4 linked regions of the Struthio camelus genome follow. The protein of the gene in region 4 interacts with the protein of the main gene of each other region in a biochemical or structural test. Links are inferred from orthologs where the notes say so. Each region holds a gene or a part of one and is shown on either strand. Other genes may lie near its edges. The genes, in order: DGKZ; solute carrier family 2, facilitated glucose transporter member 3; RPS6KA1; alpha-1-syntrophin-like.

Region 1 (7,740 bases), on a different chromosome or scaffold from region 4:
CCTATGCTTTCCCCAGCACCAGGCAGTAGCAGTGCTTTTGCAGTCTCTCCGCCAGGTGGCAGCACAGCCCGCATCCGTGGATCCTGCCAGGGGACTCGCGTGACCCCAGGTGACTTACCAGCAGCTTTGCCATACAGTTTTGCTCCCCAACATAGCAGAAATCCCCAGAGGCATTGGTCTCAAACCAGATGTGCTCCCCATAGACTGCAGTCTCCTGAAAGGCACAAGACAATGCTGTGTTTCTCTGAGAGCACCCATAAGTGATCATCTGATCTCCTAAAATGCTTTGTGCTAGGGACAAGACAACTTGATGTGGGGGTTGGGGGGGCTAGATGTAGGCAGGGAGACAAGATGCACAGAATCACCAGGGCAAACACCTGCAGAGAGGAAACCTTACAAAGCTGCTGCCACAGCCCACCCTGTTGGAAATGAGAGGCCCCCAGGAAACCAACTCTCCTCTCTCTCAGATCCTATGGAAAAACCTACAGCCTAGCTGTGTCCCATTCAGTGGGGCTGCCTCTATTCCCCCTGAGAAGAGGCACCTCGGCAAATTCAATGCTGGGGTCTCTCCTGAAACAGCCTCTGTTCCTTGACTTCAGGCAGGTTTTGACCTGCACCCTTCCTTTGCCTTTGCAGGAGGAGGGTTGGGGCGGAGGCTGGCACCCATATGCCAAGGAGAGCCCTGTGTCCCAGGGACTCCATTTGCCAGAAGACTTCCACTGCCAAGAGCAGAAGAACTGGAAGTTAAGTAGCTGTGCAACCTCCCAGGGAACTGCCTGTGCCCGCATAGCCTCTCTTCGCAGCATCAAGGGGTGCTGCCAGCAGCACAGATGCTGGCACCAGCGGAGGCCACAAATGTGTCAAAGCCAAAGTCACCTGGGAAGCCCTGGCCTGGGAAGAGCCTGCTGCTTCTTGTCTCAAAGCCCATCCTACCTCATGCCCAGCAAAATGCAAAGCAACTTACGCTCCAGTCCACAGTGCTGCGTATCTGCCTCTCTGAATCGCTCCTCAGGGCTAGCGCAGGGTTTGGCTGGGCTACCATGTGCTGGAGGCTGGATTTGGCAATAGCTTTTCTGGAAGACACGAGGGCTGCCTATTAGATCAGGAGAGGAGGAATGTGCGCAAAGAACAGCCTGCCTCTGGGATAGACAGTGATACTGGAGAAGAAAACCATCCTCAGAACCAAGCAGCTGGAAGTGCAGCGAATCCCCCAGGACCACTGCCTGAGGAACATCACCTCTCCGGCAAGTCAGTCCCTGTAGGGTGCAGAGGTGCTGGCCACATTGCTGACACTCACCAAAAGACATCCTACATCCGGCAAAAGACAGGCTAGACCTGCTGGGTCAAAACTCTCAGGGATGACAGGCCCACTGCATGACAGCCCAGGATACCCCACCAGCAGTCTCCACCAGGCTGTAGAGGTGGGGCTGCCTGTGCAAGGGCAGCCTTGAGCCCCTGCCCCAGTGCAGCTCCCCATAGCTTCCCACATATAAAGGCACCTCAGAGCCTGAGGCATTTTCAGAGTCCGGCACAACCGGCTAAAGCAAAGTAGCTTGTTTGGGACTAGGGAGCTGGTGAGCTTCCTTCGGGTAGGTTAGGGTGGAGGAAAGGACCAACAGGTCTAGTCAACTGGAGAAATTAGACAATACCCACCTCTAGCCCTAAAAGAGCCTTGGCCTCTTTTTTCACACCTGGGCTGGGAGAAGGCAAGGAATACAGAGGTACTTTGTACCGGCTGGAAGGGGACGTGTGGCAAGCCCCAAGGGGCTGCGGTGAGAGCATCAGACAAACAGAAAACTACCTCAGCCCTCAGTGACCTAAGGAGGAGACTGGCTCCTTGCTCTCCTCTACAGACACAAACAGCACTGCAAAGACATTGACAGCGGTGAGGCCTGGCACAGCCTTCTCCGACCCTGGCCACGTGGCACAAAAGGCCTCAGACCCAAGCCAAGCCCCTGCCCCTTCCTTCCTTCCCCATCCCCGGCCTGGCAAGCCTGGAGCCCCACATCCACCTCCCCTCTCTCAGATACTGCCTCGCTAACGTCACACGCCGCCATACATACAGCAGCCTGGGGCTCCAGGAGTCGGGGGCGGCAGGGCAGACGGGCTCCGATCCCAGGCACTCGGAGGGGGCAGCGGGAGGGCGCCTGGCTCCGGCTGCAGCCATCCACCTCCTGGGCAGCAGCCGCGCTCGGCCCGGGGAGATCAGCGCCCCGGGCCCCACGGCGTCACTCGAACGCCGGTGCTGGCTGAGGCGGCGGTAGCGCCCTTGCAGGCCGTAGGCAGCCCTGCCGTACACGAACTCGGTGGGCAGGAGATGGGAGGATCTGCGACGCAGGCACCGGGGGCCCCTCAGCAGCGGCCTGGCGTGGAGGGGCCGCAGCACGGGGAGCATGGAGAGCCAGGTCTCCTCAGCCCACCACCTGCGCCTGCCTGGCTCCGCTCCCCTGGCGGCCACGCTCTCCTCCCTGCCACCACCGTCCTCCAGCGACTCGGATCCGGAGCTGTCGGCACAGGGCACCCCTTTCCCCTCCTCTCTCATTTGGATAAGGCTGGCCAGGAGCATGGAAGGGCCCATCAAGTGGGTATCGATGGATCGCACCTGACCCCCGCGCTTCTTCTGCACGGCGAAGCGGGGGCTGAGGCATGGCGGTGTGGTGCTGGAGCGGCGCCGGGAGCCGGGGCTGGCCTGCTGGGGCCGGCCCAGGCAGGAGAGGGCCGGCAGCGGCGCGCCGGACCTGCACCGGCGCTGGACCAGCGAGGCTGAGGGCAGGCCCACTTGGGAGCGGCGCCTGGCTTTACCTGTGGGCACTGCCACCGCGCTGGCTCGCCGCGACCCCGAGGGCCCCTTCCTCTGGAAGTGCCTCTTAAAAAAGGTTTCCATAGCACAGAGGGTGGCACCTGAAGGGTGGCTGTTAACATAGAAACCAGCAATTAAAGAGCCTCCTGGCTAGGCTGCAAAGACCAAAGCAGTGACGGGCCAGGGGACGGCCCCGAGCTCACAGGGTGCAGCAGAAGAGAGGGCAGGAGGAAGGTGAAACAGCAGGAAACCCAGTTGCCAGACCTACGTGGTTGCTGCCGAGCTCTGCCTCTCCCTGCCTCAGCCCTCTCTACACAGGCAGAAAAGGAGGATGGGGAGAGGCGTGAAGGCCTTGTCTGGTGGCTCAGGGGGTAGCAACGAGCAAACAACTGGATGCTGGGATGCCTCCACCTAGAGCGAGCAACAAGACTGGGACCGGCCTCTGGTATACAACACACATTATTCACTGCTTAACGGCACTGCAGGAGCAGCTGGGCCACAAGGCACCCTCTCCTCTTGAGTTCAGAGCCAAATAAAGCTCTCCCTCTTATTAAGGCAGTTTCTAGGTTTATTTTCACAGCTTAGTGGAGGGTGCTGTGATGGCAGGGCAGGCATCACGTGCTGTTCCTAGTTCCCTCTAGATCCCCTGCTCATCACTGCAGGATCAACGTAGTCCTAACTCCTCTTTTGCACTGCACAGCTTCCATTTCCAATCTCTCAGCAATCTGTCCAGTCCTCTTCAGATTTCCTAGTCCCCAGCACTGTAAGGCACAGAAAAAGCTCAGCATTCAAATGTAGCCTCCTGTCAGCACTAGGATGATAGCTGGTTCCTGCAGCTACTTCTCTGCAGAGGGCTTTGGGTGGGAAGAAAAAAAAAAAACAGTGAATTTAGGAGGCTGGAGGTGTTAAAGGGATAATTTCTTGACTTGGAGCAGCTAAGAAGAGACTCCCTTTAAAAGGAACAAAGCCTTTCCTACAATCTCATGTGCTGAGCTGGATGGAACAAGGGCACGTGGCACTCGATGCCTTCGGTGAGGACAGCCAGGCTTACCCTGGAGAAGGTGCTCAGAAATACCCACTGGACTACTCGGATGTCTGCAGAGGCTGAGCTCCCCTCTAGACGACCCTGTGGAGAAGAGCCTCTGTACTGCTTGAAAAGATCAGCCCTTGCTCACGACCCCCAGTCACACGCATTCATCCCCTGGTGCTGGCCCTCCTGTTTTTCCAGTGGTAACCGCTCTGTGTAAGCACCAACCGCACAGAATTTGATGCAAATGAAAACAAAGGACTTACGAATTTGCAATAAAAGCAAGGCCAGTAAAAGAGGGGCAGGCAGATTTGGTAGAGGCTGGCAGAGGGAGCTGGAGTGGAGGTGGCCTAGGAAAATCGTCCTGTCCGTCCTGCTCAGAACTCCCCTCTCTCGGTGGGAAGAGCTTTAACATGACTCTCGAGCTTTCATTGCCCAGCTCTCAAAGCCTAACTCGTTGCCAGGACATTACAGCTGTTCGTGAAAAGCGCTGGGCCACAGATGGAAGTTGCTACAACACTGGTTTAAGCACTCTCAGCTTAGCATGCAAAGGTTTAAAAGGAAGAGACCGAAGCTGACTAATTCCAGTGCTCCTCTGCTCTAAGCAAAGTGCTTCTCCTCTGACCCCCCAGCCACTGCTTGTCTTCAACCTCTAAACAGAGAGGGTTTATCTGAGGACAACTCAAGAAACACTGACACTCACAGCTTGGTAGAATCTTTCTGGCGCCTCAAATGCTACAGAGCCAGGGGCCTCCAAATTAGGGCAGCCTGCAGGCACACGCAAGCCACCGTTGTCACTCCCAGCAACTTCTCCGTGCTGTAAAAGGCTGCTCCTCTACCCATCGTGAGCGTACAGGCACGTCACTCACCACTGCACTAAGATTAGCTGCGCTCACTTCTGTCTTCCTTTCTTCTCATGCTTTCTTATGCGGTCACTTGCTGGTCAGCAGTACTAAAGACCTTCAGAACAGCCTGGCCTAAACCTCAACAGCCCTGAGGGCCATGGGAACAGGCAGATTTGTCAGACAGATGCTTCCCTTTTTGCTTGGGAGACGCATTAAGATAGCACACGGGTGCTATTTTCTGGACCATAAACAGGCAGTTTTGTTTAGTGCTTGTATGCAAGCAACCCACTGGGCTGTACCTCTGCTTCTTTTAGAGAAGACTATAAAGCCAAGTTTGCATTTTGGAGAGGACAAGACATGGTTCATTCCCCTCCAGCCTGGTAGGCAAGGAAGTTAGCTCTGTAGTTTCTGTAGTCTCACTGCTATTCCCTGTGCTACTGTTGTATTCAGCAATGCAGCCTAGGGAGGGGAGAAAGTACAGCAATACTCTACAGAGGAATCTGCAGCTCGGACAGCAGCACTGGGGGAGCTAAAGTCTTGCTGAATTGAAAGCAAAACCAGAGTGCCATCTCCTCAGAGGAATTTCTCAAGTTCCACCACAGTGAGCGATGCAGATACGTCAAGCGCTAACTGATCACTAGCACATTTAACCATCGTACCGCCGAGGCCTGCGCAGCTTCGCAGATGGCATAAGCAAGTTCCGCTGATCACTCTGCTTCTAGCCCATCCTTGACCCTGCAATATGCTAGTCTTGTCCTTTCTCCCCACAATTTATAGGATACCTCAGTAAACTGGATTATCAACAATAGTCTTAAAAATTGTCTGAACAAATGGAACGGGTTAACAAACAACAGAGGACACTGCCTGGGAGTGGCAAACCGCAACAAGCTCTCTTTGATCATGTTTACTTGCTAGGGTAGATGTACTGCCAGGCTACATCCCGAATGAGTTGAATTGGTGCCCTCTTCTGCCCCAGATATTCCACCAACATTCAGGCTGATGTGCTGCTGGCCAAGCTGCTGCTATGGGCAGAAAGATCTTTCAACACGGCTTCCTTCCTTTTTGCACCACGGTCTCGTGAGGAAATTTGCCTCAACAACCTTTGCTTGACATTTATATTTTGGTTACTAGTTGATTAGAGTTTTTTTTTTTTTTTTTTTTTTAATCTTCAAGGTTGTCAGAGAGTGGCGCACACTCTCTTGTTCCAGTCACCAGTGGTGAAGGGTATTATCGGGAAATCATTTGACAGCCCATAATGGCACCATGCAGCAACTCAGATGGGGAAGTTCTTCACCATCCTATCTCTTGCATCTTACTTGCAACCTGAGCTGCCAAATGCTATACCGTGGGTGTTAAGAGCTGCTGCTGGCAGAGCACGGCGCCTGAAGGCAACGAGGCACGGACTGCCTAGGGCTGATGTGCACTGGCAGAGCCGTGAGCAGGGGAACCGTGCACTGCGGGGAAAGGAGCCTGACCAGAGCTAACTCTTGAAAGCTTCTGGCCCAACACTTGCACGTTTCTGGAATCTGCAGATTTCTCTTAAAAGACTATTTTCAGCTGTGAAGATGGATGAGAAGCAGTGCTTGTTACTGTTCTGCAGACTGCATCGCTCAGTTGAGTTAGGTAAGGAGGCTGGATGGAGGCAGTCTAACATTAGCAGGGTGGGAAGGAAAGGAAAGGAAAGGAAATAATGCTGCACACACTAGCATATCAACTCTACTTACAGGCAGCTTTACATTATCATTACAATCTGCTTCTGTGAATGAGGAAGGAGTCGGCAGCTTTGGTGTGCAAGTGGAGCTTTTGGGAGTTTTTTTTTTCTAACCTGACCCCTCAGTGCTCCTCAGCCTCAACCTCCTGCCTGTGCTCCCAGCCTAGCATCAGTGAGCAGAGATACCGCTGAAGCAGGAACACACCCCTGACCATGGACAGTCAGTGGCGCTGCCCCTGAGAGCTGAGGAGGGGCTGCAGGAAGCTGTCTGGGTGCTCAGAGAAGGCTGCAAGCTGTTACTCTCAGGATAGAGCTAATCTCAGTGGAAGGATCTAAATGCCCTGGAAAGTCAAACAGGGATCTAAGAAAAAAACCTTGCCTCTCATAACTTCAGTAGATGCAGAGCTGGTAGATCAGCTGATAAGGGGACCCTGCTCTCCAGAGAGCCACCCAAATATCCAGCACACATCCCTTCCATGGCGGTGGTAGTTCCAAAACCAGAAAAGCTGATTCCAAGGCCAGAACATGAACTTTCGTCCCTCAGGCACAGGCTTTGCCCGTGGTAGGGAGAGCTTCTTGGTATGCAGCTCCTGTAATTCTGCTTTGCTCCAATAGCCTCAAGCAAACCCCGGTGTACTGTACTGAACAAGCCCTCTGTGACCTTCTTATCTGTGTACATGGATGCTGTGCCACATGTCTGTTCAGTCCTTCCCCTTCATTATTATCCCTTCACCCCCCCTCCAGTGAACTGGTCTCTTCCTGAGAGGACCCAGAAGCAACAGAGATCCCAGGCTGCCTTTCCAGCCCCATCACTTCCATTCAGATACCACAGGTTGCCGTCAGTTAGTGTTTCCACCACAAGCTTGCACTACCGCTCTCAGTGCTCTGATACTCAAGTCTTTCCATGTATGCTGCTGTCCCCATACCACCTCTGCTGGAATCCTGTCCCAGCTCTCCCTTCCGGCTCCCAGGCATCAGCTACTGAACCCTGCTCCCCAGTCAGCCCTCTCCAATACACAAGGAAGAGCAACTCACATGGATTAGGTTTGCCAGGAAAGGTGTCCCTTTCTCAGAAGCATCAGCCACTAGTCCCTGTCACAGATGGTGAAGAGAGCATCTGGGTCAAGACATGCTATAGCCCTTGGGGCTTTGGTTGAGGTGAGCTGAGCTGAGCTGAGCAATTATCAGCAAGTTCCCAAACTCTGTGCAGTTTGTTTCTACCTAAAATTTACATCTAAGTTGTAATCTGTCCTACATCAGGCAAATAAAACAGGGACAGAAGCTGCCTGAGGGGGCAACTTCACGAGAACAAGGGCAAAAAGGTCTGAGAATAACCTGTTACTGAGTACAGCTACTA
Region 2 (7,839 bases), on a different chromosome or scaffold from region 4:
CTGGCACAGGAACCCTGCCTCAAACAGAAGACTGTGCTGCCAACTTTCCCCATTTATTTTTCTTGCCACTGTGGCAATACTTGATATTACTTGATAAAGTCCCAGCACCTGGAATTGAGTGTGTGTGAATCTTTGTATTTATTAAAATAAAAAAGAAATAAAAGAGACACAGAGGAAGCTTTAAGGTCCAACCTAAGAAATTTAAGTGTCAGTGAAAAGCATCTGACATTTTCTGTATTTTTAAAGTCTGTGGAATTTAAGCCAACTCTGTGTTAGGAAGGCAGGGGAAGCAGGCGACTCAGCAGTTGGCACTTGGATGGCCAGTGTTTGGGTTGGCAATTTTTAGAAAGATCATGTTTCTCTCATAGGAAGGACTGGAAGCTTTTCCAAAACATTAGAAGTCCATTTTTCAAGGCTTCCCATTTACTCTCTTAATGCTGGCAGAGAAGAGAAAAGTACTTCATGGGGCCTGCTGCTGAAGTTCCTCTAGTCTACCGCTTTTCTGCTTGTCTCCAGGAGAATAGGGTCCAAAGGCTGCCCAAAGTTTGGTGCCTTTTTGCCAGTAACTCTTTGCCATTGCTCACACCACCTTCACCAATCTTTCAAGCATGGTGCATGGGCCCTTCTGACCTGCGCAACCGTCACACATTTAGCAATTAGACCCCAGTAAGCAGAAACCAAAAGATTATCTCAGATGCAACTTTCCCCTGCTACGTCATGTAGTAGAAGTGTCAGGCTGTCCTTCTAGGTTAGCAAAGGAGGCAGAAGTGACAAGGTCCTAGATTCCTGCATGGGGCAGATGATTTCCATGGTACGGTTAACACCTGAATACATCCCAGGTGGTCTAGGCCTTCTTCTCTGCCACTCTGTGCGGAGGGGGGTGACTGCTCCCCTCGTATTAGCTACAAGGAATTTTGGCACAGAAACACAAGGATCCAGCTCTTTCAAAGCATTTGGAAGCCCACAAAAGGGCATTAAGACATCTAGGTACTTTTAGAGGTCTAGGTCAAGTCACCCCTAGTCAGTGGGTGTAGCAAAGTAGAGGACAAAACTCTGCTCTCCACACTTCCAACACAGTGCCTCAACACAGGAGCATCTTCCCCTCAGAACTCTGCTTTGTCATGGCTTGCAGTGGTCACAGCTGGCCTCCTTTTCCTCTGGGTGTTATATGGGACCAAAAGGCACATACAAACTATAAGGCACAACCAAACTATAAGGAGGCTAGTTCTTTTACCCTCTTTCATGATCCCTTTTCCAGACTGTTGCCTGTTATTCATCTGTATCACATACCCAGTCTCATACTGCCTAGACATCACATGACCTGACCCATCCACTTCCGTGAGACAGGCCATGATCTAATGTATGGATCATTTGTTACTGTTGGCCATACCTCATTTTCCAAAAGGTGTCCAGGGAGCTCAGAAATAGTAAAGCAGCATCCACCCTATCCAAAAGTTCAAAGTTGAGGTCTATATATTGGCAGGAAATTCAAACCACCACCCTTTCCTCTGACCACAGGCATCCATAAGGATCTAGCAGCTATATTTATTATCCAGGAGAGATACTTCAAACTAGCTCCCTTCTTTTTTACTGACTAGAATCTCAGAACAGTATAACTTGCTGAATTCAGCTATAGCTCCCTCTCTGCCCTCCTTTAAATGCCCTTGACCAGATGCTCTCTCACTTGTTCTGACTCATCTTATCACCCCGTCCACATTTCCCATCAATATGGCAGTGAGGGCCCAGAGCTTCCCTGCTGCTGTTGTTTTTTCCGTTTTAACAGTAATTCCCTGGCATTCAGCACTGGGCACCGGGTTCAGCTGGATATTTGCTGTCTGTCTCCCTCCTTCAGCCTGCCTGCTTTTCTGCCCCGATGCATTCAAACACAGGCAGTTCATTAGCTCCACTGAGTTCCACTCCGCGAGTGCACACTTCGCTCTAGGCTGCAGATGAACTACGATACCCACAAGGCTGTCTGTCCCATGTTCTCTCAAGGAACAAGGGGGAAAGAATATGCTTTGCTTTTCTTCTCGAAATTGAAACATTGTTTTCCAATAAGTCTCATATATATATATGTAAACTTTAGGAGAAATTTCCTTTTCAGCATTATGAAGCCTCTGTCTTTAATCCTGGCACAAATGAGTACTGTCTAGCCAGCAAAATATATCTTATTATCAGTATAAAGAAAATATGGAAATATTTATAGCATCATGTGGCTAATTAGGCCATATACATGAAAACAAATCAATCTCATGGCTTGCAACAACCCTAACCAAACAGGCTCTCCATCCCTACTCCCCATCTCCCACAGACAGCACTTATCTAAGTCATTCTTAAAAAGATAGCAGCTGAGGCCCGTCTGCATCATCAGAACTTCCATCTTTACAAAGACAAACAGAAATTCAACAGTATCGGAGAACGAAATGATGCTGAATCGCAACCACACAATTCATAAGGTGATCCTTGCTTCATGAATGTTACTAGATTGTTTCCGCAAGCCTGGCAAATCCTTTCCAGCCATACACATAAGTATCTGCGGAAAGGAACGGTAGCAGACAGATGCTAGACAAACAGACACAACCTCACAGTGAATAATCAGTGAAGCAACAAGACAGCTAAACGCCCTAATGGCAAGCAGAAAGAGATCGGTAGTGGTTACCTTTTTATTATCCATCGCCTGCGACAAACGCCTTAAAATGACTCTTGAGGCCCACTGCCCTATTCCCACCTCTTAACAGAGTCCGTGAACCTTCTGAGATGCTGCGTCCTCGCCTCCCACAAAACAAAACAGCTGAGTCTCTCTCTGTACAAAAGCACCTTCTTTCTGCTTAAGCTCATGTATTTATGGTTTCTTTTTTGGGTGTGGGCGTGAGAGGAGACTTGGAGGGAGGAGCTCCCAGCAACGAAGAAAAAAAAAAAATCCTTTAACCTAATACGCTTTTCTGACTTAAATTTTACATTAGTTTGGATTGGTTTTTGCAGGTGGCAGTATTTCAGCAGCATGTGTCTGGTTTCTTATGTTTCATGACTAGAAAACTAGAAAAAGTCACTGAGTAGGGAGCTAGCAGCTGTGTTATTTAACTCCAGCATTTTGGAAAAAGTTACAAGCGTAGAGAGCAGTATTTGCCACGCTGTTGATGCTATGCAAATATTAACTAATGATAGAACACTAGTGATTTGTATGAAATAAAGTTGTTTTAAATCCCTAGTTAAAACAGTGAGGCAGACAGTGACAGTCAAAAAGACAGGCACACAAATCACATGGGCAGAAGCACGGAAATCATTGCCATACTTTATGGATGCTCTACCCATCTCCCAAAGCTGTGGATGAGACATACATCTGGATAGCTGTCTTTTGAACAGCTTTTCCGACAAAGCTAGAATTTGTGGGGGCAAAGCTTGAGACGTGACACAGAGCTGCATTTGGTCCCAAATTTGAACTCCTTCAGCTGAACTATGCTACGCTCCTTCATATTCCCTTGCAGCCCATCCCTTAACTGGAAGAATTGCCAAACTCTCCTAAGAGAGTAATGGAGATCTATGCTTTCAATTCCAGACAAAAACACTGTAAAAAAAAAAAATTCAGAACCTTCCAAATATTTTCATTTCAGAAAATGGTAGTAACTCAGAGCTGCAGGCAGCGGGGAAGGAAAGGAAGCAGGGGAGAAAGTTAGCTCATATGCCATCTTCTTATTTCTAGAGAAATTATTTTGGGATTTTCCGTCACTTTTCTTTATCAAATTCTGAGGAACTGGAATGATCCCATTTTAATTCCACTTCTGTTACTTCTTTGGCACGGTGGTCACCGGATCACAGATCAGATACATAACAGGAAATTTACAGTTCAAACGCGGTGAGGTTTTCCTCACTCCCTTAATGTGTCTTTTATGTGTTGCAGTTAAAATATGCATGCTATTCCAAACAGAAAATCAGCTCATTAAAAGGACAAGGAAGTCTGCGCATTCTTCTTCACTTGACTATTTTTTCACATTTATTTTTTATTTTCCTAGCCTTTCTTCCACTTATGTGCAAGCACAGCAAACTTTCACCTTGAATCTGGTGAGCCATCTCTCACCCTGGTATTAGCTCTGGAAATATTCAATTACTGGTTAAAGTAAACAGCTTCCATATTTGGTGAGTTTCTAAGCATCTCCAAATCTCAGAGGCAACCTCTGGACTGCAAGAAACATCCCTCTGAGATCTCCTCATTCCTAGTTTTTTTCTTGACCCACATGACTCAGCTGGTGCTGGGAAATCCAAACTTCAAGATTAGATTAAACGTATATTTAGCTTCACGTCCAACTTTAGAAGCAGTAAGAGTGTAGCTGAAAATTAAATACCTGACACATGACACAAAACATAGTAGATGAGATTTCTTTACCTTTAGAGAGTTGGCGAAATAAATAGCAGTAAGAAGGAGACACGAGCTCAAAGTACATCACTAGAAACCAAATCTCCCTGAGAAATGTGGGAAAGACACAGAAATTATGTATTCAAAATCATTTTTGATCCTGTCCATGCCTCCATAGCTTAATGGGAACAGAGACAGATCTATTATCTATTATCAACCACAGTGTCATCATGCTGGTGTCCAAGCTCCTTGCAAGCTATATTCTATCACACAGCTGTTCTGTCAGGTCTGCCCAATTTTCAGTTCAGTGGTGCTGCCCTGTAGAATGAAGCTCTTTCCAATCTCTCTTTCCCCTCCAAGTTACTCACCAGATCTCTTCCTTCTGCATACTAATTCCCACGAATATTAGTGAATCCTCTCTCATGTTTCTTTCTATTTTGCCTGAAGAACAAATTCTTCAGAGATAAGAGGGGCATGGACAAGGCGGATTATTATGCAGTGTTTGCATTTAGAGATGATTTTGTGCTTTTGTGTTGTTGTGTTTATAACAAAAGAGTATTCAGAACAAAAGAGAGAGAATGAGAGCCAGCATGGGCCAGATGCTTCTCCCCCAAGCCATTAGTAACTTTCATTGTTGAGATGTGCCGAGAAAGAGTGGGAAAAAGCATGAAAGATAAGAGAGAAACAAGAGAGTGGGTGTGGAGAGATTGACTCTTAAACAACAGGAGGTTAAAAAAGTGAGAAGAGAAACAAGGAGAGACAAAAGGCAGAAGACAAAAAGGAAGGAAAGGTATAATGAGGAGAAGAAAGAAAGAACTAAAACAGAGAAGGACAAGGAATAAAAGAAAAAAACAGAAGGAAAAAAGCAGCAACAAACCAGGAGAGGAAAAGAGATAACAGATGAATAGATAGAAAAGATGAACAGAAACTGCAGAATTGCCTAACTAGGAGAGCACAATCACAGCCTTGGACAGGTCATGTCATTAGACTAAAGTCTTTTTTACCTCTGCCCTTTACCACAGTGAAATGCAGGTTGGTGATAATGTCTCTGAAAACTTTCCTAATTAACCTAGTCAATTAGTAAGATCACTATGGTCAAAGCATTTTAATGCTTTACCAGACTGATATGACAGTCTTGGAAATGAGAAGTAAGTCTCTTTCGTTTCAAAAAAAAAAAAAAAAAAAAAAACGTTTCTACAGAAATGACATGCGGAGAAGGCTGTTTCCTGAACCCAGCTCTGTGCTACGAGAGAGACGTGACAACTTCTATACCACTTCAGGCCTTGTCCTCTTCTTTTGCTCTAAATTGGAAGAGGACTTCTGCCCACCACCTAGGCTACAAGCCTAGTTTTTTCTGATTGATGTTGCCAGAGCAATCAGGCTTTCTAGCAAAGAGAGAAGTTATATATCTGTGCCTTTGTTTTTTTCCTATGATGTCTGTTCATCATTTCTTATTCTAAGATTGGTTCACATCTAAGAATAGCCACACTGAACTGTGTGTTCATGACTTATGGAGAGTGCTGTATTTCATGAGCAGTCATTGCCTCTTATAATATCTCTCAGTCTCTGCCTCCTTTTCTCTGAAATGTACAGAAAACAGGTGAATTAAGTCTGAAACTGCTCCAAAGCCCAGTCCTCAGGACTGGAACATTACAGGGACAGTGGAGGTGGGAGGCACTGGCAGAGCTGTGTCAGAAGCTCAGGCCTCAGCTAGCAGGAGGTTGCAAGGCAGGAGTGAGAGGCTTTCGGTCAAAATGTCTTTTTTATATATCCGTCATTGTTTCTCTCTGTGGTTTTCTCCATTGCTTCTCACTGTGGTTTTCTCCACCCTGAGCAAGAAACTGTAATCGAAGGGCAAAGGAAGAAAACATCCTAGCTAATGAATTTGGATTAAAAATGTCAGCATAAGTAGAGAGCAAATTGTTCTGAGGAGCAGAATTAAAAAAAGAATTTTCTAGCACAGCCCTGATTAGGAGCATAGCAATAGGAAAATACACACAATTCAGGACAGTGTCTGGGTTGGGAGGTCAGTTCATGAAGAGGTGAAGAAGGACCAGAAGGTATCAGATAGAGGGAATCAGTGTGGCTGCAGTTCGGCAGAGCCCCATTCTGCTTTTCATCCTGTTCTGGAGGGCTGATCAGCATAGGCATAAGGGGTGGGGTTGTTTTTGACAAATCTTCACAAAATTAGGCCTTACTTTATATTTCTTGAGAAAACACTATATTCAGGAAAAAAGTGATTTCTTATGAAGAGGTAAATATTTTTTTTTCATGGAAGACATAAAAAGAATTCCCCATTAGTATGTGCGGGGCACGAAGCTAGCCAGACAAAAGGATAATAGGAAGTTTGACAAATTCAGCTAGACAATGTTCTCTGGCTGCTTACCCAGCTGCAACACTGCAGGCATACAGATACTGATCAGAAAGCATACACTGGCTCACAGCATTTTATGCTTAGCCCAGTCAATCCAGCGCCAGTGTGATAGGTTGCAGGGGCGTGCTGTCTGCTGGCACATGGATCCAGGCTGTGCTGGGAATGCTCTGCGCCCCATGGGATGGGATGGAGGCATTTCAGGAAAGTGAGGTGCCTTATCTTATGTTCCCTTTTAGGTGTACTTCTCACGCCCAAGTATTAATAACAGAAAGCTACACACACTGCCAGTATATACACACACACTGTGCAGAATCAAATACACCCATTACACATACACACTCCCCAGCAAATACACGTTAGACACGCATATATTGACAAAGGAGCTGAGAGGCACAACTGGGCACAAGCAGAGCTGCAGACTTACAAATACCATTTCTGCAGAGATTGCTCATCTAGCTATGTTCTGTTCTGCTCCCAGGTACCTAGCCTGAATAATCACATTACTTTCTTCAGCAATTGCCTGAAGGGTTACAGGCTAGGGAGGAGAGAGCAGAGACTGTGAAAAATGTCTCAGTAAGATCAAATGTGATTACAGTAGCAAGAGTCACAAGAAAAAACAAGACCCTGGCCAACCCACCTCTTCTCCCCAGCCCCATTCCCCTCACTGCTGTAGTCTAAAGTTAGCTGCTGTTGAACTGGCAATATTCACAGAGGGTAGGATTGGAGTCTGACTCTGTAGGCTAATAACGGCTAAGCCAGCTGGCACACAGGGGTTTATCATTCCTCTCCTAGCAGGAGATGCTCTGACTTATCCCAAGGCAGTGCTTCCCTCTCCCCCCACATACACCTCTCCCACCTCACCCTTGCTGCTCAGCAGCAAAGAGCTCAGGGAGCAGCCCATGTATTATTACAGGCAGGATGAAAAAGGAGGTGATGTGAAGGGTGCTCCAAAATACAGCACACTGCTCCTGGGCTGCAGTGTCACCACTGAGGATTCCCCAGGCACAGGAGACAAGTTTAAAACCAGGTCTGAGAAGAGTTATCTTAAACAGCCATTCCAGCTCTGCAGTGCCAGCTCTTGTCAGTCAGTCATCAGAAATGGGGCAGAAAGGGG
Region 3 (7,323 bases), on a different chromosome or scaffold from region 4:
GGAGTGCGCTGGCATCTGAAGCAGCTGCAATCGCGCACAGCGGTAAGGAATGGAAAGAAGTCACAAAAGGAAAAAGCAATCAGCCATTAAACACAGCCAAAGTTTCTCATTTACAGGGCCTCTGCTTTATATCTTAAATGTGACGTTTGCCCTGCGCTAAGGAAAAATGTCTCCCTGGGATCAAAACAAGGTGATCTATCATTCCTTCCTTCACGGTGAAAAAACAAAGCAGAAGATGCAAGGAAATGAGATCTTACATTGAGAGCTGGGGATTAGAAGACAGGACGTGGAGTTCAAGTTCTAGCCTGATGACCTAGTGAAAACGTGACTCGGTTTCTCTGTTAGTGGAATGGGAACAACAATGAACTAAGGAACTGATTAGTGGATCTTAAAAATACAAAGAAGGTTGCTATAAGCTCTAATTAAATGACTGTTGTAGTGTGTGCACAAAGCAGACTACACCAGTCTGTCTTTGTAAACTGTAGCAGGCATTTGGGACTCAGCTTGTGAATTCTCATGCGTGCAATCTTTTTGCATTTCCTTATATGTGTAAAAGCAGTGTAGCATGCAGTTAAAGGAAGATGCTCCCTGGCTTCAGTAAAAAGAAAAGAATGGATACAGTGAGCCATGGGAACACTGTGTTATATATGGTTAGGTGGAGAATCGCTTAGGCAGCTTTTAACGTAACGAGGAAACCTCTGCCTCTTCAAAACCTGATTGGATTTGGTAATGTGGATAAGGATGAGTCTCAATACTTCCGCTTTGGAAGTGGCTCTTTGGGGATAACTGGCTTAGTGAGTGCTGTCAACCTTCCTGAAGAGGAAAATGTTACACACCACAAGCCAGGCAACTGCAGAGGCAAAAATATCTACAATTGTATTTGAGGGGGATTTGATTTTTTTTTAAAATGAAAAAAAAAAAAACTTGCAGCATTTTGAATTTTCAGCAAATGTAATAATGGTGAAAGGGCCATCCAGCCGATCTGGAGATCTCCATTTACCTGTAGCAGCAGCGGTCTAAATGGAAACGTAGGAATCCTACTACGAACCTTAATCCAGCCTGCGGCCCTGTCAGAAGAACGGCAGTGTGTGTGTGTGTAAATATATATATATATATATATATATATATATATATATATATATATATATATAAATCACTGTTTTTAGCCATAACAGTTACCCAAACAACAGGCTTTGGCGTTCAACTCAAAAAAACATTTTTTTCTACCCAGCTTGTGGCAAAGGGGCTGCTTTGTATAGCTGTTCTTTGACTAGGAAATAAACGCTGGGGGGACACCACTGTCTCGTTCCACTTACCTAAACTTACTGCTCTGGGCTTACCACCGGTCTGGAGCGGGAAGTCTCATATTCTGTTAATCAACTGTGAGTCAGTGTTGTCTAGTGCAGGAATCAAAGGAAGGATGGTCAGCCTGGTGATAGATAGCACTAGATAGCACTGCTTCTCTTTGAGTCCTGCCCAGCATTGCTGCTGAATCGCTACGGTGTTAGCTAGTCTTGGGGGCTGGAGGTGGGGGGTGAGGGTGCTAGTTCAGTCTTGAGGATACTGTGGAGCTACCTTAGCAAAACCTTTTCCTAGCCTTTAATAAAAGTAGCTTCATAAATGGAGAGCATAGACACGCACAAGTCATTGTTAGTCTCCCTAGTATCTTTAATTTGCTGTTTTATTATGAAAACCAGGCAGGATAATTTGATACTTTTGTTTGGGTGCATGGCACCTGTGGGTGTAGAGCTCTCTGTTCGTTCCAGCCTAAAGAAATCATTGCTCCATAAAGTTCTATAATTTCTGTCTTTTGTCAAACGCACGGTGAGCTGGCCTGTCTTTCTGCTGTGAAATATGAAGGACTTTCTGCATCTCAATAGACCTACCAGGGGGGCGGAAGCAGCAGTGGATTCCTTTCTCCTTTCCCTCACTGAATCCAATAGGCCTTTTTCTGTGTTTCAGACCGTTCCTCCAGATATTGTCTGTCAACCTTTCACCGTGACCTTGAAAATTAAGCCTTGCTAACCAGTAGAAACTGGTTACTGTACCACTCTGTAACTAGCCAGGTAACTGCCAGTTTTCAACACTTCAAAAGGAATTTCTTTCCTTTTTTAACTTTTTTCCACTGTTTACAATAACAGTCATGGCCTTGAGGTCGGAGATTTCTCAGGAGTTAATGACCACCTTGGCTTAGGTTACCCCCTCAGCTGCTCCAGATCACTGTTTGGCACCTGATCTTACCTGACTCCTGTGCACAGCTCTTATTTGAAGCTGAGAGGTGCTCTGCATGGGTCAGCTGATGGGAAATGGCCTTTGTGCCTGTCATTTGTTATGATTTAAATATTCTGCTTTGTTTTTTCCATTCAGGTGGGAATGTCCAAGTGTGCTGGGATGTGATGTTCACAGGTCACCTTCAAGGGGCTTAGCACTGAAGCATGGCAGGGCACGTTAGCGTTTCATTTTGTTCTCCTTCTATAAAGCATGCAGAGTGTCATCCTTTGCTCATTTGTCTGTGCATTCCTATTCCAGACCCGTCTGACACACACACGCAGAGCAGAAGGAAATCCAAAAAGGGCGATGAATTTTGCAAACAAATGAAGAAGGTAAACGGGATGCCAGTATTGACATCATCACGTTACTGGTGCCATTTAAAGCAGGTTTCAGTCTGCACCAGCTGGAGGATGGATGTAACCAGACGGCGGCACGCCGTGCACCAGGCAAGAGGGGAAATGGACAGCTTTGGAGCTAAATGAATAACTCTGCACAAGATCTGCTTCAGCTTGCTCCCACAGTAAGTGACGTGAGTTTAATTGGCTGTAACAGGACCTTGCTAGTACCGTTCTGGTTGTGTTATTTAATGCCTTCATGTGGGAGTCCAAAACTTATGGCAGAGAGGGGCTCTGAGTGTACGGTTGGGAGAGAGCAGTTCCCAGACTTGGCTCAAACAGTTATACTGTGACCCATGGGAATTTTTTTTACTCAATTCCCCCCAACATGTGAAAAAGATGGCAGCACTAACATAACTCACAAGCAGGTTCTGAGGATGACTTACAAATTAACTTCAAGTGTTGTGAAGATCAGCTGGAACGTTTAGACGTACTTTGTTTTTCTCTGCCCTAATTCAGCTTTTTCTGAGTTCACTGCCCAGCCTGAAGAAGTTGCAGGTTTAAGGGCTGTACTGGCTTTTGGGGGTAGGTGCCCTACAGAATGCAAAACCAAAGCTGAGCGCGGTTTCACTTGGACTCATTAAGTGATACTTCCAGCTATGCCTTGATGAAGTCAATGCTTAGCGATGCACCCTTGAAAAAATAATTTCTGTTAGAAATAATTTTATAATGAACATGAAAACGCTGTGCTTTGGCTTTTGGCTTAAAAAAATGAGTAGAAGAGTACACTTCTCCATTTGAGAAGCCTAGCAAGTAAGAATAGCAATGAATTGTGAGCACGTGTGTTTAAGGCACCTTTCCTCCGCAGGCTTCTAAACATCTCAGAAAGGTGGATATGGTTTTTTTTAATCCATGTTTTGTTGGGAACGGGAAAAAGAGAGGGGGGGTGCGCTGCAAACAGTGATGAGCCGTGACTCACTGTGCATCACAAACTTAGAATCCGGATTTCCCGGGGTGGTTTCCTGCTTTAGGCAGCAGCCTGAATCGTCTGTCACAGAGTTTATCCTCACAACCCTCTTCTTCGGGGATGTTTTGTAGTACTGTGTGTACAGCAGAGCAGCAGACAACTCCTCCAGCTCTGGAGGAAAAAAATCTTTCCCAGGCACAAAAGAGAGTTGGGCACCCAGTGACTGACCCAGAGCTGGCTGCTCAGCTGCTTCTTGGTGCTGCTGAGGATTTCCTCAGCAGAGAGGAGCACCGAGTGACTGCCCCGCTCACCTTATGCGGAGCGAGCAGCAGCTTACCAGCAGTTTTAAGATCCGTTTGGCTAACGGGCGCATCCAAATTTTGTCAGGGCGCAAAGCGCACAGAGCCTGCAGCCGTTCACGAGAGCTAACGGGGAAGGTTTTTTCCCCTGACCGGCCTCGCCGCTCCCAAAGGTGGGCTCGGCCCTGGGGTGAATTCGCCACCGGCCGGCACGCACACCCGCTCGCTCGCTCGCTGCCGGAGGGGAGCAGCTCGCTTTGCCCGTGGCCACCTCGGCCTCCTCGCTCCCGAGGGGGGCCCTTTCCCCTGGCCGAGCCCGGCCGGGGGGCAGCGGAGGGGCCGCGCCGAGCCGAGCCGCGCTGCGGGCGGAGCCGCGCCGCCCCCCGCGGCCGCCCCGCTCCGCTCCGCCCCGGCCCGCTCCGCCCCGCCGCTGCCGGCCCGGCCCGGGCAGCCCGGGGAGCCGGTGCCCAGCGCGGGGCGCCGCGCTGCGCTGCGCCGAGCCCAGCCCGACCCGGCCCGGCGCCGCGGGGCAGCCCGCCGCCAGCATGCCGCTCGCCCAGCTGGCCGAGCCCTGGCCCAACATGGAGCTGGTGCATCTGGACACGGAGGTGAGCGGGGCACCGGCCCTCGCCGCGGGCGGCGCAGCCGAGCGGAGCGGGGGGGGACGACCCGGGCCGCCCCGCCGGGCTCCGCGGTGAACAAAGGAGCGCCCGGGCCGGTGCTGCCGGGGCCCCCCCCGGCCCCGCTCGGGAGCCGCGGGCGACCCCCCCCCCCTCCCCAACGCCCCATATCCCGGGGGGCGGGAAGCGGTGCGGGCCGGGCTCGGGCAGGCACGGTGATGGGCTGCGGAACGGGGGGGGGGGGCGGCGCGGCGCTCGGCAGCCCGCCGCTGCCCGTTCAGACGTGCTCCCAGACGTAGAGGGGCACGGGCCCTGCCCGGGGCCCGAGGAATAGATGCTTCATGTGCCGAGTCTTCCTCTTCAGGGCTCCCTCGCTGCTGTTCTTCCTAGACCAGCTGTCCTGAGAGGCCTGCCTGTGTTTCAAACTCCCAGGCACCCTGTCATGCTCCCCTGTTACTTTGGTGGATGCTTTGCTTTTTCCTTTCTAATTACGGCCTCGAACCCAGATGCACAGGACACATCAGCTGTCTGCCTCTGCAGGGTTGTGCCACGACCGTTTCGGAATAAAGGCACAGCTTTTAGGAGTTTTCACCCATTGCAAAGCAGCCAGCTGAGGCAGTGTGCTCCGGCAACCTTTAGTTAAGCATCTTCTAATCCAAATTAGAACTAGCCTCTTTCCTGAACAAATGATATGGCCGTTGTGGGTTTTGTCCCAACCCCTGTATTTGGACCCTCGCAGTCTCCCATCCTCTTGGCTGTATTCAGTGCTCTCGGTTTTGCTCCTTTACCTCATCTCATGCCTAGAGATGTTGTGATGGTTGAGTGGTTAGATTTGCTCATTCCTATTTAAAACTGCCTCTTAAAACATCTTTGCCTTCAGCGGAGGCAACGTTTCACTCCTGCTGCAATGATAACAGATAGAGGTCTGCTAACAAAAATGGGTGAGGTTGCCTAATTTTCATCAACCAGATGTGGCAAGACTTCTCCTAGAGACTTCCCCATGCCAGAGGCGCTGCATGTGCTGGGGGTTCACATCATCTGGCCTGAAGGTGCGGACGCACCCGGCAGCGGGCTCGGCGCGTCTGCTCGGAAGCAGTGCTGGAGTCATGAGGATGTGTTTGTGCTCGAAAGTGGGAGAGGAGGGAGGTTGCTCAGCCTGCAACGACTGGATCGTGATTCCTGGAAACCATGTCGTGCCTTCGGAGCTTGTCTAGGGTACCGGAGTAGGTTAGAGCTAGAACACAGGGCTCTTTAAGTTGGTGGTTTCTCTCTTCCTAAATAGGAAGATATCTTGAAAAGCTAAATAACAAAACTAAACTCATAACGGGAGAAAACTAATGCTAGTGCCCAGGGCAATAAATGCCATTGGCAAGATCGGTTTACTGCTTAATCCTACGTCTTTCAGGTGCCAGTCAGCTGGCTGTGTCAAAATCACGAGATCTCTTCTGACCGGAAACAGCTCGGGGGGAGCTCCCGTATATTTGTCAGCTGGAGTCAGCTGTGAAGATCATAGTTAGCAAGAACTATTTTCCCCACTGGAGTAGTAACCGATGTGTTAATTGTAAACTGAAACTTCGGGGCCTGACTCTCACTTCTCGGCTATCCCCTTCCCCCATCTCACCTTGCCTAGAGCTCTAGGTCAGCTCCACGGTCGGGAGCGGTTTGCATGTGATATTTCTGAAAATCACTTTCCTGAAACCTCAGGAGGGCTGCATCTCCACCTGGAGTGGGACGTTAGCAATTTATCCTCCCCTGGTTTGAGGAGAGCAAACACATGCTCTTGCTTCCAGTGAGAGAAACAGGATGGATGTTCTTCACCTCTAAACCTGGCTGCCGTCGCCTGTGCCAGACGTTAGCATGTTCCTTTAGCTGTAGCAGCGTATCTGCAGGCTGCAGAGAGGGACGTAGGCTCGGTGGGATTTCTGCACCTTGCGAGGTAAAAATGGCTGAGGGTAGAGGCCTGGGGAGAAGATTTTAACCTCTTCTGGGCAAGGTGGAGACTCTTCTGGAATGTCAGTTACGTAAATTGCCCTTGGATCTCTGCCATCATGGTTTTCAACCGGCTTCCTTGTACCTTTGCTTTCTGAGTCACAGAGCAGAGGTGCTGTCACTGTGCTGGTGAAGGCACCGGGCCTGTTGTCTGCAGGTTTGGGGTTTTTCCACTGCACTTCAGGAGCGCTAGCAATCTGTTCCTGGGGTCTGGTCCCAGCTGGCGCCTGTTGTCCCGGCCTGCCGGCGCTCAGCGTGGAGCTGCTCCGTGGAAAATGCGTGGGGGTGGGTGGCAGCGGGAGCTAGGACTAATCTGTTGCAGGAGAAAAGTGGATCCACCTCTGTCCTGGGGACTGAGCTGGTTTCATATTTTTTTCCCCTTATTCTCTCTCCTGCTTATATCATTCAGAATATTGCTTATGTAGTTGAAAAATCTGGCTGGGGCAGAGTACAAGCGATAGAGTGGAGTTGAATGACTTCATCACCATAGCGATGGAAACTGTCATCTAGGCTGTGCTTTTCTTTAAGCTCTTGTCTTGTAACACATACAGCAACATAACTGACGTGGGATTACCACAAACCTAATCACTTCGAGCTAATTATTTTTGCCGGTATATATGTATTCTCTTTTATTGAGCAGCAGCCATTCACGAGTAACTATCTTTTCCAAGCATCTTAGCTGAACGATGCATAAAACAATGATCAGAAGATACAGCAGGAAGCTATGTGAGTTTAGTCTCTGATATGCCTTGTGCGCAGCGCAGCTGACTCCTCAGTCCGTTTGGGCTATGGCAGTTCTGCTGGCAATCTTTATTTTTGCAGAATTATTTCCTTTCTCTAAA
Region 4 (7,656 bases):
AAAAATCAATGGGACCCACACTTGGCGCCAGCGCATAGCTGAGGGCTGGGGATGCTGCCCAGGGCAAGGAGCAGAGCAGAGCACCCTGCCCTCTCTGGCAGCCCGCTCGCATGGGGCTGCCCCAGGCAGGCTCCCTGGGTTGCACAGGGCCAGGACACGGAGCAGGGCCATGCCCAGGTCTCAGCAAGCTCATGACACAACCAATGTGTGCAGCCAGGCCAGGGAGCCTGCCGCCGCCCCGGCGTCCTCGGCCTAACCGCAGTCCCTGTGGCCTCCTAGGTGCAGTATCAGCCCCTGAGCTCCAGCCACGTCCCTAGAGCAGCCCACTGCAAAAAGCCTCCACTCACAGCGCAAAGCACAGCTGCTGTTTGCACCAGAAACCAAGGGGAGGCATTTCTTCAGTATTATGCAGACGTTGTCTCTTTGGCATAACAGCCTACTGCCTCGCACCCTCACCCAGGAAGAGGGAAACGGGAGCCAGGCCTGCGTCAGCCAGAGCAGGCTGAGTCAGCACCAACACCAACCCTAGGGCTGCACGCCGCTCTGCACAGCACCGGCCCCATCCCACCCTCGGGCCACCACCGAGAGCGATATAAGGCTGTTGAGGCTGGAAGGAGAGAAGCAAGAGGCAATTCTGTGGCCTCAGCCCTGGGGCACTCAGGCATTTTGCAGTAAAGAGTCCTCAGACAACACAAACTGCCCTGAGGGCTGGGACCAGGACTCCTGGGGCCAGCCTATCTGAGCACTCCTGCTCTGCAGAGCTGTAACACCTAAGCTGTTTTCACACTCTGCTCAGTACGCGCTTCTGTGGTAAACTCTGAGGTTAAACTACAAGAAATTTATTACTTTTTAATGGGAAAGTGTCACCACCCCAGTTAAGAAGGACCAATGCCTTCCCTCTGCAACAGCGGTGGTCACCTTCAGAGCTCTGTGACCAGCTGTAATGGTTTATAGCTCCCACTTTGGATTACTGCCACTTGTTTTTCACATATTTTTTCACTGCAAAAATAAAGTTTTAACTGAACCAAGTAACATTTCTCCTTTCCTAGGAGAGTCACAGAGGTAGCGATAACTTCGCAGCCAAAGGATTATCACAAAGGGGATTTTACACTTCCCAAAAGGAAGCACTGGCAATCTCAGGCATCCCATGGTGGCAGGCACAGCAAGCAGCATGAGAGAAGCAAGCTGGTGTTTCGATCCAATCCCAGCAGACGGACATCCACATCGCAAAGTCTCCCTACATTGGGCACTTGTACAGCTGAAGCGGAAGCAGGAGGTTGAGGCTAAATTCTCTCTGGCCACCAGAGGCGAAGCCACGTCAGAAGGTAAGATTCATACCACCACTGCCTATGGACCACCATGCATGCAAACTGGCCTGCTGTTACATTAAATTACAAACTCTTACCCATGCACAGGGATGGACCTTTGCCCGTGGTTGACTATTTAATCCTTCTTTCACTGAATTTCTAACAAGCTCAGAGCTGCATGAAAAATAAACACAAAAAGAAATGCAATCCCTGCCCTATGAAGTTTTCAGCCTAAAGTTCAGGCAAATCACCAAGGAGCACAGAAACTTGGGAGGGGAGCACCAGAAAGGAAAACAAGAATTACAACAACAAGGCTTCCCTGCTGCTCAGCCCTCCGAGACCGGACATCTTCAAGCTTGAGAGTGTTGTTTTAATGCCCCAGCTCTTAAGAAGTACTCTGTGTCTGCAGATCCCCAAGGACCTTACAAAGGTTGCAATCATTTTCTTCATTCTGCCGACAGTTTAAAAGGGACATTTGTCAGCCCAACAGACATAGGGTCACTGAGGAAACCAAGACAAACATGCAGAGACCTCTGTTTGATGCAAAGAGGCAGCTTTTCTGTAACATGGGTACCCTATGCGTCCCATCTGCTTCTTCAGACATCTTCCCTACCAGGAAAGTGCCAGCGTGTGCAAAGTCGCAGTGGGAGAAGAAGCTCTGCCAGTCCTGGCTTACCAACAAAGGGCTGTGAGCACCACCCTCCAGTGTCCCAAGCACAGGAGAGCAGAGCCCTGCTCCTGGCTGGGGGCTCCTGAGAAGCTGGTCTGTCACCCGGCCTCCCTCCGGCACTCTGTGCACTGAGCTCTCCAGGAGCCGTCTGCCTTTAAAACCCAGCTCTTAGAGCATGCAGCAAACATCCTTCAGGCCCTTCGTACTCCAGCTGTCACACCTCCCACCTTGCCCTTGCTCATCTCCTTTTGGGGTAAGTTAAGAGACTGACTGAGGCGTGAGAACCCCAGTTCCTCCCCAGTGCAGAGAGATGAGCTCGGCTCCTGGATATAGTTTCCATTCAGTGGAAACGCGGAGTCGAGCTGCAGAATCCAGTCTTGAGAAGGGGACGGCAACAGGTCGCTTCCCTCGAAATCCCCGTCTCGCAGCCCTCGCTGAAAACGCTCCGCTCCCCCACGAGGTGCATCACCTCTGCTTCCGACTTGGAAGGTCAGACCCGCGGAGCAGCCGCGGCCCGGGGAGCACAGGCGTCCCAGGCTGCCAGGAAGCCGCGCGCCCGCGCCCGCAGCTGCCGCGGCCCCGCGCCGGGCGCCCCGCAGAGCCCGGGAGGGCGGCGCAGCCCCGCGGCGCTGCCGCGGCCCCGGGCTCCCGCGCCGCCGTCGGGGGCCGCAGCCAGGACCCGCCGCGCCGGGCGCTGCCCCGGCCCCCGGCCCCCGGCCCTCACCTTTGATGCTGATGCCGAGCCCCCCCACGTCCTGCTTGACGACGCGCACCGTGCGCCTGATGTTGGCCAGCGCCTCGGGCACGGCGGAGCTGGGCTCGCCGCCGTTGAGCTGCGCCGGCGGCGCCTCGCCGGGGCCGGGGCCGGGGCCGGGGCCGGCGGCGGGGCTCACGGTCAGCACGTCCTCGGCCAGGGTGAGCAGGACGCGCAGCCACTGCCCGCCGGGGCCGCGCAGCTCCAGCAGCCCGGTGCGCGGGGCGCGCCTGCCCGCCGCCATCTTCCGCGCATGCCGCGGACCGCCGCCGCTGCGCCGCCCCCGCCGGGCCGCACGGCTCCGCTCGGCGCGGCTCGGGGCACCGGGCACAGCGCCGCCCCGCCGGCCTGCCCCTGGGCCGCCCGCCCCGCCCTGCCCGCCCCGTCGGGCTCGGCTCGGCTCGGCGCAGCCCGGCCCCCCGGCCGCCTCCCCGGCACCGGGATCCGCCTCCTTCGGGCCACGGCGGCGCCCCGACCCGTCCCGTCGCGGAGGGTCAGTCCCGCGCTCCCGGTGCGCCCCTGGGGTGCTTCCCTGCCTGGCCCCGGACGTGCCCGGCGTCCCCCTTGTTGCACCCTGCCCCGAGGAGCCGCAGAGGGAGCCAGGCCCCCGCGCCGCCCTTGCCTGGCCCGGGATGTGCTGCGTGCCCCCATCCTGCTCTACGTCCCAGGAAACAAGGCAGGAGCCAGGCTCAGGGAGCTGCTGGCTCAGCCCTTCCTCGCCCGGGGAATCGCAGCCCCCAGTGACGGGTGCCCACGTGTGGCAGGATCCGGCCACCCGGCGAGGCCGAGGGTGCCTTGGAGGCTCCTGCTTCGTGCAGCAATTTGCACACCATGCGCAAGGTTTCTAAAACACTTTTGGCTTGTTCCCAGGTACCAAAAGACCTACTTTCAAGGAAGTTTGTATGCAAGGCGCAAAGCGCTCTTGAAAATCTGGCCCAAGCAGGGGTGGGCTCTCGGGGGCTGCTGAACCACCCGTTGGCTCTCTCGCTCTGTTGAACTTGAGCAGCAGATTTGGGACTGATGCTGGAAGCACTAGATGACACTTTTTGGCCTAGATAATGTGGCGTGTCAGACTAGATGATCACAACGCTGCTCTGCAGCCCTGAAGTCTGTGCATCCCTCAGCAGTGTGGTGGCGGAGCACAGCACGACTGCCGAGATGTCTCTGAGTAAAAGCTTGTGACACTCTGTTATCCTGAGTTATGTTTTGCCCGGCAGAAAAGTTTGCATGGGCAGATTCTTCTTCGTGTCATCAAAATTACAGTGCTGCGCAGGGCGGCGGGTAGGGGAAGGCGGCGGGCAGCAGATCAGAGCCGGGCGTGATTCTGGGGAGCAACATCCCCCAAAATGGGGCCTGCTCTTGAAGCCTTTCCCTGCATTGCTGCTCTGGGCCAGGGGAGCTGCCTGCATCCACCCTTGTGAGCGACGTGTTGCCCCATATCTCCTTTCTGTAACAAGAGCAACAAGGTGCTCTGGGGTTGGCACCTTCTGACAACCCCTACGCAGTGTCAAACAGGCAAGAGGTGGAGGCGAGAGGTGTTAGGACATCCAAAGAAGTCTCTGTTCCTTTTTCCTTGCTTGTCCTGGTCCTTGAAAATAGGAACGATACTTTGTTTCATTTTCTGTAACCTGGTGGCAGCAATTAGAAAACACCTATTGGTCCACGCCCCCCCCCCCCGCACTCCCTTCTCCTAATGCTTTGTGCAGCTCCAGATGTCTCCAAGCATTGGGGCTTCCTAGCTCCCTGAGCTCTCTTTGCTACAAAATACAGAGGCTTAAAATAATGTAATGGTCTTTTAAGGAGGTTGGAGAGGGTACAGAGGAAGTGGGTGTAGTGGGGGACTAAGGGGCGCTGCTCCTGGCCGCCAGCTGCGCGTGAGGCGGGAGAGGCTGCGGGCGCGTTGCTCAGCGCAGCCCTTGCCCTCTCGGTGCTGGGGCTGCGGCCCATCCTGTGGGTCAGCCACGAGCGTCGGGGAAAACCCGCTCCCTCCGCTCTGCTCCCCTCCTGTGCAGAAGTGGTGGAATTTCTCGAGGTTGCAGCAGAGGAAACCCTGAAGGTTATTTCCATAGAAAACAAACATTTCAAATATTCCAGTTTTCTTTCTCATAAAAGGTCCGGAGTTTGGCTTAAGTGACTTTTCGTTTTGCATAACAGCTCTGCTAGCTGTAAAGGTTCCCCTTTGCGTCAGGAGGTGCTTTTACGGGACCGTGTCACCCACCCAAAGGTATTTGCTTATGATCACGTCCTCTGTGTTGTACCGTTCGGCCACACAAGCCCCGCTCTGGCTGTCCATGTAGCACAATTTGTTTACAGCAGAGGGGAATTTTGTCCTTTTGTCCTCAAGGCTCTTTTTCCCTGTGCCATCAGTGCTCCAAGCACTCACTTTATTTGCCAGACAGTCAGCTGCAATCAGCAGTTTGTCTGATTTTTTTTTTTTTCCTTCCCAGCACTGCTCTTGTTATTTCCAGCATAGGTGATTGTTTAAGGCCATCGTTCCCATTTGAAGCGACGGAGGAAACTGTAAATACTGCTCTTAGTGTTGCATAATTGCAACATTGGGGTCGTTTTCTTTGCTTTCTCAGCTCTGTGTCTGCCTGGCAGCACGGATGCGACGCTTGAGCATGTCCTCCATGCAAGGAGACAATCTGGATCCTGTCAGTGCCACATGGAGGGAAAATCACTGTCCTTCTCCATCCCTGCTGCTAGGACGGATGAAGTCTGTGGCCAGGTGGGACTTCACCTACCACACAGCAACTGCCCCCCAACAGACACAGCCAGACTAACATGCAGGCACTTAGGCAGCCCCAGCCCCGTGCCACTCCTCTCCCAGCAGCAGTTTTGCCTGAATAAAAGGATCATTTACTTCCCCTTCAGTAATGACATTTTAATAAAGTCCTCTCAGTTACACAGGTTCCTGCCCTGCCCTCAGCTGCAGGAGCCTTGAGTTTGCAGAAACGTGTGCCATACCCTCCCCTATCAGGAAATCTTTCTCCAGCCTGAATGCAGAACAGCTTTGTCAGCACTGAGCACGTGCAGACGTCAGCGCCAGAGGAGAAGGACTCATGACACCCACAAATCGCCAGAGGAGAAGGACTCATGACACCCACAAATCGCCCACCGAGCGTCACGGTGGCTGCAGACAGGGGACCTGCTGGCCCAGCTGCACTCAGGGCTGGATCTTTCCTTCAGGAGACTCCTAAAGCCGTTGCTATTATGGTAGAAAGATGATCATACGGACACCTTCTGCTACACATGATCAGAGGACTCCCTCTCTCTTTTTTCAGCGATTTAGTATTCCTTTGGCAATTATATCAGGTACTTATTGATGGGACAGTGATCTAAGTATTTCAGATGCTGGTTTCTTCTAATGCAAATCAGGACCAAAAAGGGCCCTAAATGCATGTCCTGAGGGGCAGCTCAGAACTGGAGACCCAAAGGAGATAAAAACTGCCACTCCTAAAGCTGTTTGTAGATCCTACACGATTTGTGGCAGAAGCTTGGATCCGGAGCTCCCTTTGCTTTTGCTTTTTGCAAAAAAGGACTTGGGATTTTTTCATATGACCACAAGCAGTCAGTACTATATATAGCCTGGGTTCACCTGCCCTAGAAGTGGGCAGATGTGCAGACACGGTGCCGCAGGAGGAAAACGTGACAGATTGGTGAGCGCGAGGAGGAGGGTCCTCCCTTCCCTTCTGCCCAGCTATTGCTGCGTGGCCGGGCTTTCTGCAAGGATTCAACGTTTTTACACTGTGTCTCCCCGACCAGGGGCCCCCTGTTCTTCAAGGGGCCTGAGGAAATGATATGGGAGGACCCATCATGGGGGTCCTAACTCTGGAGGCCCAGCTTGGGCATTGGGTAGGTCAGCAGGCTATCAAGAGGGATCAGCAGGTAGATGGACACAGCGTTCGGGGTCTAGGCTTTGATCTCCGAAGACTCAAATCGTTTGGTGTCTCCTCAGCGTGGCTGGGGTCAGGTGAGTGGTGCTGCAGTACAGGGAAGACGGACATGCCGGGATGCTCTGCGGGGTGTTCACACTTTTGGGACTACCTTCCTGCACGCCCGCTCCCCCAGGCATGCTCTGAAGCCCATCCTTTCTCACGCAGGAGACTCCCACATTTTTAGGGACCCCCTTTGTGTCCCAGGCCTGTGGTGAGCTATGGGAGATGCACCCAGTGCCCTGAAGGGTCCCAGGCTGCACCTTTTTTTTGATATACTGTGAGGCATTGAGAGAATTAGCCGCAATGTCCTGCTGCAAGAAGGACCAACGGCCACGAGTTTGATTGACTAATGCCTTGGCTCTGGGCCAGGGGCCGGGGGGGCCAAATCTGGGCTGCCTGGCACACAGGAGTGAGTCGCATGCTTCCAGGCAGGTCAGCATCGGCTGCAGGCTGGATGCAAAGATGCTGCTCTGCTGGCACGGCTGCATGTGTGTTTCACCTTTCAGCCAGCACTCGTGACTGCGTGCCTGTATAGCACACTGGTTTCCAGCATTTCTGAACCGACTCTCCGGATTCCCATGTGGGACAGCTGGGCCACACCGAAAATCCACACGTCATACTGCCTACAATGATCTACTGACCCCTTCCCCTGGCCCACACATGCATGTGTGCGTGATCATGTTACCCTCCTGCAGTAACAAAGCCAAAGGCTCTGCTTGCTGGTAGCTAATGGGCTCCTTGGCCCTTTCGCAAGCCTGGTTTTGCTGAGCTGCATGTCCCTCCTGCTCAATTAAAGCCATATTTGGGGCTGCGGAGAAGCTCCTTCCAGCAGCAGCCTCTCAGAGTCCTGTTAAGACCTTCTGATACTACTTTCACAGCTGATTTCCATCCCCTGTTTGAGCCTGTCCTGGCATTTTCTCTGCATAATCTCTGGTCCCCTGAATTTCATCGTTAAGCAGCTATTATTAGACTCATTTCTTGGCATAG

What was found.
Region 1: the proteins of alpha-1-syntrophin-like (region 4) and DGKZ form a complex in vitro, tested with the Homo sapiens proteins (2 studies listed by BioGRID and IntAct, with this or other methods). The link is inferred for Struthio camelus from reciprocal best matches to the Homo sapiens genes SNTA1 and DGKZ.
Region 2: the proteins of alpha-1-syntrophin-like (region 4) and solute carrier family 2, facilitated glucose transporter member 3 interact in a test that uses a peptide from one of them, tested with the Homo sapiens proteins (2 studies listed by BioGRID and IntAct). The link is inferred for Struthio camelus from reciprocal best matches to the Homo sapiens genes SNTA1 and SLC2A3.
Region 3: the proteins of alpha-1-syntrophin-like (region 4) and RPS6KA1 interact in a test that uses a peptide from one of them, tested with the Homo sapiens proteins (2 studies listed by BioGRID and IntAct, with this or other methods). The link is inferred for Struthio camelus from reciprocal best matches to the Homo sapiens genes SNTA1 and RPS6KA1.

What each region holds. Positions count from the first base shown.
Region 1 is NC_090946.1:40,031,705-40,039,444, forward strand, and holds the start of DGKZ (diacylglycerol kinase zeta), read right to left. Parts: upstream 3,009-7,740; 5' UTR 2,885-3,008; coding exon 2,064-2,884; intron 1,074-2,063; coding exon 965-1,073; intron 215-964; coding exon 119-214; intron 1-118. UniProt on the Homo sapiens protein: Diacylglycerol kinase that converts diacylglycerol/DAG into phosphatidic acid/phosphatidate/PA and regulates the respective levels of these two bioactive lipids.
Region 2 is NC_090942.1:88,614,996-88,622,834, reverse strand, and holds the start of solute carrier family 2, facilitated glucose transporter member 3, read right to left. Parts: upstream 3,010-7,839; 5' UTR 2,675-3,009; coding exon 2,660-2,674; intron 1-2,659. UniProt on the Homo sapiens protein: Facilitative glucose transporter. Can also mediate the uptake of various other monosaccharides across the cell membrane. Mediates the uptake of glucose, 2-deoxyglucose, galactose, mannose, xylose and fucose, and probably also dehydroascorbate.
Region 3 is NC_090964.1:7,012,195-7,019,517, reverse strand, and holds the start of RPS6KA1 (ribosomal protein S6 kinase alpha-1), read left to right. Parts: upstream 1-4,323; 5' UTR 4,324-4,417; coding exon 4,418-4,480; intron 4,481-7,323. UniProt on the Homo sapiens protein: Serine/threonine-protein kinase that acts downstream of ERK (MAPK1/ERK2 and MAPK3/ERK1) signaling and mediates mitogenic and stress-induced activation of the transcription factors CREB1, ETV1/ER81 and NR4A1/NUR77, regulates translation through RPS6 and EIF4B phosphorylation, and mediates cellular proliferation, survival, and differentiation by modulating mTOR signaling and repressing pro-apoptotic function of BAD and DAPK1.
Region 4 is NC_090959.1:4,021,946-4,029,601, reverse strand, and holds the start of alpha-1-syntrophin-like, read right to left. Parts: upstream 3,008-7,656; 5' UTR 2,976-3,007; coding exon 2,702-2,975; intron 1-2,701. UniProt on the Homo sapiens protein: Adapter protein that binds to and probably organizes the subcellular localization of a variety of membrane proteins. May link various receptors to the actin cytoskeleton and the extracellular matrix via the dystrophin glycoprotein complex.